2 linked regions of the Bombyx mori genome follow. Each later gene encodes a partner of the first gene's protein in a complex. Links are inferred from orthologs where the notes say so. Each region holds a gene or a part of one and is shown on either strand. Other genes may lie near its edges.

Region 1 (4,468 bases):
ATAAAGAGAACTATAATTGAGATTTAAGAATAATGCCTGTCCAGTGTTGGCCTTAAGCTTAGTATAGAAACAAATGAATAATAATGGAACCATGAAAAATATGGTTCCTCTAAAAAACTGACCAATATATTGAGTGATAACCTAAACCAATAACTATTCAAAACTGAATTGAGGTTGTAGTTGCTATAACTTCTAGACATAGTCATCTATTACATACTATATAACACTATAAATTAGATATTAGACATTAAGCACTAGCCCATCCAACACTCAACAAAAGCCCAGAGGCATTATTACATAAATGCTGTCTGTAAAGGTGATCCATATCTCGTTTACATTAAAAAAAAAAGAGCAATTGTATTTTTCATATTAAATCACTAGTGATATTAGTTCACGAAATTCGAAACCATTCACATTTAGATCTTGAAAACTAAAAGTCTTCAAGATCGTATTGTTTTTATTTTAATAGAATTTCCATTACCTTTGACCAGAACGAAATTCCTTCATAATGTTGTCTCTCTCTTTCTGTGGCATGTCACCATGCATTGAACTGACAGTGAAGTTTGCCTCTTGCATCTTCTGTGTGAGCCAGTCAACCTTCCTCTTTGTATTACAAAATATTACTGCTTGGGTAATTGTCAGTGTATCATAGAGGTCACAAAGTGTGTCAAACTTCCATTCTTCTCGTTCAACTGCCACGAAGAACTGTTTGATACCCTCCAGTGTCAACTCATCACTGTAGAAAAAATGATTCTTAATTTCAAATACATTTACCATGATAGAAAATTTGTTTACTTAATTACTATTTAGCTTGCATAGGTTTATGTGTTGAGCAATTAACAAAATGATAGTCCATACAGAAATAAGCTTCATCCTAGAAATAGTATAGTTGATAATGCTAAAATAAAACAGATAGTTTTCTACACTTAATGTAACTTCTTTTCTTAATCTAAATCTCCTCTAGTGTTTCCTGAGTACTGTGACATAATTTTATTCAAATGAGATATCAGGCAAATAACCCTTAGCGTCACTAGTGTCCATAGGCGGCAGTAATCACTCACTATCAGGTGGACAAATTCCTTCAAGGGCAATATAAAACAAATATTTCATTTAACTTAGTGGGTGGATGAGTTCAAGGCCCACGGTGTTAATGGTGTTAAGTGGTTACCAGAGTCCATAGACACCTAGAACAGCTTTGCTGTACTGAATTCCATGGGCGATTGTCACCACTCACCATCAGGTGGGTGGTATGCTAGTCTGCCTACAAGGACACTAAAAAAATAAAATGACATGAGTTCTAGTGTCTCGCATTTTACAGTACAACAGCTGACCCACCGTTCAAACCAAAACACATTACTGCGTCCCAGCAAAAATAGACAGGATCGTGGTACCTACCCGTGCGGACTTACAAGACATTCCTACCACCTACCACCAGTAATTACGCAAATTATAATTTTACATGTTTGATTTTTATTATAAGATGTTATTCCTTCACTATGGAAGTTAATCGTGAACAATTGTGAAGTACGTATTTCATTAGAAAAATTAGTACTTGCCTGCAGAATTCGAACTTTAATGTGTATTTTTGAAATAATCATACAAACCGTTTTACTAATATCCTTATTGGATCAGTCATAAACTTTGATGTCATTTCCAATATCTCATGGGGTAGTGTTGCTGATATTAGCACAACCTGAGTTGCAGGAGGCAGATAGCGGTATACATCATAAATTTGCTCTTTGAAACCTTTGTTCAACATCTCATCAGCCTCATCAAGAACCAGCATCTTTATTGACCGGGTTCTCAACACACGCCTTCTGATCATATCTGAAAATAAGATTGTTTTCTTATAATCTAGGGCACCCTACATCTTGCAGTGGATAGATTATTTAACTTTTTCAATTATTGCACAAGGATGACAATTTATAGACACCATCCCTGTTCTGAGATGCCTGAAACCATACACATGGGTTTGTGGTGAGACTACTGTAGTGAGTAGTACTGTTGGTGAATTTGAGAAGTGGAAGTTAAGTTACTACTTTCAAGAAATAAAAAAGGTGAACCAGCCAGATAACAAAAAAGATCACAGAAGGTTTATCTTTGGTTTTGGAAACTAAAACAATTAGTACTTATTTACTTGGATTAGCAATTTTCATTTATTTACCAAAAACTCTGCCAGGTGTGCCAGACACAACATGCTGTCCGTAATCCAATTTCCTTATATCTTCTCCAAGATTGGTACCTCCAATACAAGCATGACATTGAACGTTCATGAAATCTCCAAGAGCTAATATCACTTTCTGAATCTGAGTAGCCAGTTCACGGGTCGGTGAAAGAATAAGTACTTGAGTTTCACGCAGAGTCGTGTCTAAAGTCTGTAGTATTGAAATTGAGAATGTCGCAGTCTTTCCTGTACCAGATTGTGCTTGAGCTATTACATCTCTGCCTTTGACTATAGGCAAGATGCTTCTCTGCTGAATTGCTGAAGGTTTTTCGAAACCTGTAAATTAACGTTAGTTATTACTAAGTGGTTACCGGACCCCACATACACCACAATACGGAATCTACCAGCCCCCAAGGTTTAACAGTGCGATTGATTTTAAATGTATTGTAAATTAGTATGTCACTCTTCGAAGCCGGAACGCAGAACTGTTGCGAAAAAACAGGACGACAGTCTGACAGACGGACGACCATAATACGGTCTAAAGCTGGTAAGATAATGCCCACATGATCGTTTATGTAGGCAGTTGTAATAATTATAAATAACACCACAATTTGTACTAACCATATGTGTATATTCCTCGCAATAACTCATCTCGAAGTCCCATGGAGTCAAAAGTGGGAATAACTTCGACATCTTCACTCGTGTCGAACTCAACATTCGACAAATCTTCCGACAATATTTTTCTATTGGACGATACTTCAGACGATGTCATTTTTCGAATCTAGTTCGCTTCTAAGTTTTTAAAATAACAAGTTATACGATAGGTGAAAATCTCTTAGAATCTGAATTTCTAAATTACTAAAGGGAAACTTAAGAAACTGTGTCCATAACCATAGATAACACCATAGATAATGAATTTAATTCCATAAGATAGATAATACATTTCATACATAAGATCCATAGACTATTAAGTGATTATTACGCTTTTATTAGCTCCATACCTATGTAGGTATGTAACGGAATCTTTGAATATGATTTTGACCACCTTCAAAATGTCAGATTAACTTGAAATTTGGCATACTTAGGTATTAAGGACCGATGATAATTCAATATTTTAAACAGTAGACTCGTTATTTAATTTCGGCAGTCAAAACAACAAATTAATTTTTGCGCCTTCTTTTCTTCACTTAGAAAATTTGGAAACTGTTTTATTTGCCTGAATGCACATTAAAGAATAATTTATGATAGATAATAAGTAAACTAAAAAATGAAAAATACATAATAGTTTAAAAAAACTAAAATACATGTTTTTATAGAAAATCCAACTAAAAAATGGAAAATAATGTAGTGTGCAACAACGTTACTTCCCACACATCACAATAAATTTATTTAAAAAAAAGCGTGGGATGCTTTTTATGAGATTATCAAAATGATAAGACTTAGCTAGCAATTTCTGTCAATAAAATATTTAAACTATTGACGCCGCGCATCTCACGATTTTCTATAAAAACGTGTATTTTAGTTTTTTTTAATTATTATTTATTCATGTATTCTTAAGCCGCGATAACCGGAGTGATGGTAAGAACTCATCCGAAAATAATGTGATTGTTTATAGTACTGAAAGGCGACGACGCGGGGGCTCATAGCTACTGACGAAACCCCTTACTAAAATAAATTAATAATGTTGATTTGTAGATAGTCTGTGGTTTCAAGAGTCACAGGTAACAATCTAAAATGGAAAAGAAATAAAACGGCTATAGATTATACACAAAGTAAAAAAAACGTGATACAAAACGCGAAAGAAGAAACGTTAAAAAAAGAAAGTTTTAGAGCGTAACCAGCAAAAGATATAATGCGGCTACAAATTTTAAAAATACATGTATTATATGATTCTATAATTTAACTGTTGAAATTGTTAACTGTGCTTTACAAGATTAATTTGAGATCTAAACATTTTTTCGACTGGGTCGAAACAAAACGCAATTAACAACGCATTCGTTCAGAGGTCGAACTGGTCGAAGGAATTTCGTTTTAATTTGTGGCCAAAAGAACGACCGTATTTGATTTTGAACGAATCAAAATGGATGCTGGGTGTGAATGAACTGTATACTGAAACCAACAGCTTTTCAATAAATTGTGTCGCGGGTTCGATTGATGATAAAATTCCTACGTAGGGGTATGAATTTAAAATTTTAAACAGTGAGCAAATCAGATTTCTTTCCTTTGCAGTCACTTTGCTTATTGTTGAAATCAGTAGTCACTGTGTCGGTAATGTGTTTTTATTACGGGATTCTGGGCGAGCCC
Region 2 (4,024 bases), on another chromosome or scaffold:
AGCTGCGAAAATGCAGCGCTGACTCACTTCCACGACTACGGGGCACAGGGTGCCACCGCTCACGGCAGGCCGGCGAACCAGTGCCGTCGGAAGCTGCGATCTCCAGAAGGAGCACTCTTCACTTAGTGAAGAGTGTGGAGAGCGCAGTCCTTCCGCTCCTCCTAGTGCTGATTTTGGTCCGCGTCATCCGATCTCTTTCGTTGCAAAGCCTATCTAAGCTATCCTAAGCCTAACCCTAAACCTAGGACCTTAACCTACATCTAAACCTAACCCTATACCTAGGACCTTAACCTACATCTAATCTAACCCTATACCTAGGACCTTAATCTACATCTAAACCTAACCCTAAACCTAGGACCTAAACCTAAGAATCCTTGCAACGAAAAAGATCGGACGATACCTCTGGGAATGTCGCCCAGAGGATCCCGTTATCCGCCACCTACGGACGCGCCACGGTGGAAGTCCAGCAAAACTCCCCCACAGACGGAGCCCCCGGCCACGCAGAGTGCGCACCGGGGGGCCCGCCCAGGTCCCGGGATTATAATGTATACCTACATTATCTCTTGAAAGATAAATAATGAACATATTTACTTATTTGTTTATATTACCTATATGAACTCTTAACCTATCTTTTTTATACCTTCATAGCGATAGGTATATAGGAGGATGGAAAAAATGTATTTGGTCTAACTTTACGCGAATGCACATTATTTTATTTATTTATTTTTTAATTTTTTTAATTAAACTGTATACCAATTAATCGATCCTTCAGGATTTATAATTGTTTTTTTTTTCACGATTAAAACCGCGTAGAAAGTTTAGGCATTATAGTTGACGCATGCGCCATAGATTATACACTTATGGCATGCGCAGTACACATATTTTGTATACATTTATTCAACTAATACAATTAATTAAACAAAAAATGAGTAATTTCGAAAGAGAACAAACGTATTTTATATAAGAACAATCGAAAATGAATATTTACGAGTAATTAAGGACGAAAAAATATTAAAAATTGCAATCGAGGGGCTAACTTTTAGATATATTTTTAATATTTTTTTTAAAATAATAAAATGGGGAACAAACAATTATTAACAATGAACAATCAAGAACAAATGATGAACAAACGAATTAATAGAAAATAAGTAGAAAACAGGAAAAAAAATTTTTTTTGAGGGGCTAACTTCATTCACCCTACAGCAGTGCTATCATACGAGTATCAAGGCTTTTGGTACTATTAAATATGCGAAAGGATTTTTGGCTGGAACGCGAGGAATTTTTATTTTATTTTAATATTATAGTCCGTTTAATTAATTAGTTACCTACGAATTGCTAATTATTCGTTCGAAGTTTTTTATTGAACTTCAATTAAGTATATCTCATTCGTACAGCTGAATAAGTTTTTGTGTTTTGATATTTTTTCCAAATTTTAAGCTTTCAACGGCTCTCGGGTAAAGTTGGAAAATTATCAAATTAACCAAACAGCCTTTCACTCCTCGATATCATCTCATCTTATTTTATTTCACGTTTGATTTCATTCAACTTCATTCCGTAATCTTCGTAATTTTTCCTCTTTATCTTTTTGCAAAATGCTAGGCTGTTTAGGCAATGTTCTCTTTGTCTTCCTAATCGGACAACTGGAAGTATGAACCTTCCATAAATCAAACAAACAAACACCACTCTACAATACTCTACATTGAATTAAACACGCGAGTGTAATCTGAAGTTTAATTCTGAAATTAATTTAACTGATAATTTGCGTTTGAGGGTTTTCTCATCATTGAGTAATTTTCTTTTAGTGTATCAGTAGAGCCGCTAAAGTGGAAGTTCTCGAGGATAAATTTAAAACTCTGTGCAAAATGTCTACGGATTTTTACATACGATATTATGTTGGACACAAGGGAAAGTTTGGCCACGAATTTCTCGAATTTGAATTCCGGCCTGACGGGAAACTGCGTTATGCCAATAATTCCAACTATAAAAACGATACAATGATACGTAAAGAAGCCTATGTTCACCCTTGTGTAATGGACGAGTTAAAAAGAATCATAATTGATTCCGAAATCATGCACGAAGACGATCGCCTGTGGCCACAACCTGATAGGGTTGGTAGGCAGGTATGTTAAAATTCCACAACTAACTAATATAATAAGGTTTTCCAAATTTCCTGAAAAAAATTATCATTGCAAAAAGTTAAATTTATTCTAACCTAAAACATTGATTTATAATTATATGTGTGTATTTTATTTAAAGACAAATTTAACACGGAAATGCAAAGTGAAACTAAGTTTTTTACTTTATTCTTTATGAAACAACCAAGTTGATGAACTATGAACTATGAACAATCCTATCCTAAATCTAATTTGAGGCAAACTCAACACTAAATGAAATATTAAATGCCTACATAGAAGTTATTCATCATCTTGGATTTTCACTTTAGTTTTCTGGTTCACATAGCGAAGATTTGCTAAAAGTATTTGGTATTTTCAAAGTACTAGCCCTGAACAAAGTTAAATCAACTAAAGAGTTTTTGGATTTGAAATGTTTTCATTAGGACTGATTTGTAATATGACCTGCCAAAAGGTTCATTTAAGGACATTCTAATACCATCTTTAGCTTTACTGCCCTGTACCATATAACATTATATTTTGTAACTACTGGCCCACTCTGTCAAATTAAATCTATAATTGCTTCATAGTAGAATTATTCAGAATGTTGGCGCTAACTTAGTTCATGGCCATACAGTATGCTACCACTAGTAATTATAATACTTAGTCTCTTGATTGATGGAAGTTGAAGGCAATCTGCTACAGCATGTGTCTTTGTAGATTACTGCTTGGCCACAGCACACTCATCTATGTCTTTTTAAGTCTTCTTCTTCTTAATCGTGATTTTGTTTTTAGTGATGCATTTGCTTTAAAATTTATGCATATGCTGTTATTATAATAAATAACATTGTATTTTACATCATACAACATCAATATCGCATGAACTCCCTTCAAACCCCCTAGGTGGCCCACACACTTGATTCCACATTCTTAACATTAAATTTGCTAATAGCTGAACTATAATGTAAGCTTGTTTAGACATGTAGATCTTTGAATTAGTGAAATAGTTGAAAAATCTCCCAAATTCCTTTCTGATTCTTCTCAAAATGTAAAAAATTTTTTTTTAATAAATTTAAATAACATTATTTATAATTTATTATTTGAACTTTAATTTATACAAATTATATTAAGACGAGAAACATTAATGCTGTACTAAACACTATTTTTATTAATTTTCAGGAATTAGAAATTGTTATTGGAGAAGAGCATATTTCTTTCACTACTTCTAAGACTGGATCTTTGGTTGACGTGAATCAATCCCGCGACCCTGAGGGTCTTCGTGGGTTTTATTATTTAGTTCAAGACCTTAAATGTCTAGTATTCTCTTTAATTGGGCTACATTTCAAGATTAAGCCTATATAAAAATTATAATCTCCTATTCTTGAGTAATAAAATATTTACATATAACAGTTTTATTTATTTTAATTAAGCCAAACACAAGTAAACAAGCCAAAGTAAAAAATTCATACAGATAATAAAATTATAGATATGCAAAAACCTAACTAATGCCCATAAAGAATAATAGATGGTAAATAAATGATGTTATATTTTTGGCTTGATTATTTTGGTTTTTAATGTTAATTTACCTCTTTTTACATAAATATGTAATATGGCAATGTTAATAATGTTTACTGTCTCTGCCAGAAAAATCTGCTAAGAACTCCACTAACTCCCACAACACAAATGTATGGATTTAGGTATAGGTGCAATGCAAGATTATTTTATGAATTAATCTACACATTACACATATAGTTTCGATTGTCTCCAATAATTAAGAAACTTTTTAAAAAATAATGAGAAATATGGTGTGAATTTTATTTTCGGTGTGGAGAAGATAAATTTACGTGTACAAGTGCCGAACAAAACATTTAGGCCATCAGTCTACTAATTGAAAAATCTAGCTATTTCAGCCT

Evidence for each region.
Region 2: eIF4AIII (region 1) and mago nashi share a complex: the UniProt entries of both Drosophila melanogaster proteins name them as parts of the mRNA splicing-dependent exon junction complex. The link is inferred for Bombyx mori from reciprocal best matches to the Drosophila melanogaster genes CG7483 and mago.

The regions. Positions count from the first base shown.
Region 1 is NC_085131.1:3,885,373-3,889,840, reverse strand, and holds the start of eIF4AIII (eukaryotic initiation factor 4A-III), read right to left. Parts: upstream 3,058-4,468; 5' UTR 2,937-3,057; coding exon 2,786-2,936; intron 2,501-2,785; coding exon 2,165-2,500; intron 1,828-2,164; coding exon 1,605-1,827; intron 737-1,604; coding exon 482-736; intron 1-481. UniProt on the Drosophila melanogaster protein: ATP-dependent RNA helicase. Core component of the splicing-dependent multiprotein exon junction complex (EJC) deposited at splice junctions on mRNAs. Involved in exon definition of genes containing long introns, including the rolled/MAPK gene.
Region 2 is NC_085121.1:13,251,634-13,255,657, forward strand, and holds mago nashi, read left to right. Parts: upstream 1-1,728; 5' UTR 1,729-1,862; coding exon 1,863-2,120; intron 2,121-3,290; coding exon 3,291-3,473; 3' UTR 3,474-3,518; downstream 3,519-4,024. UniProt on the Drosophila melanogaster protein: Core component of the splicing-dependent multiprotein exon junction complex (EJC) deposited at splice junctions on mRNAs. Involved in exon definition of genes containing long introns, including the rolled/MAPK gene.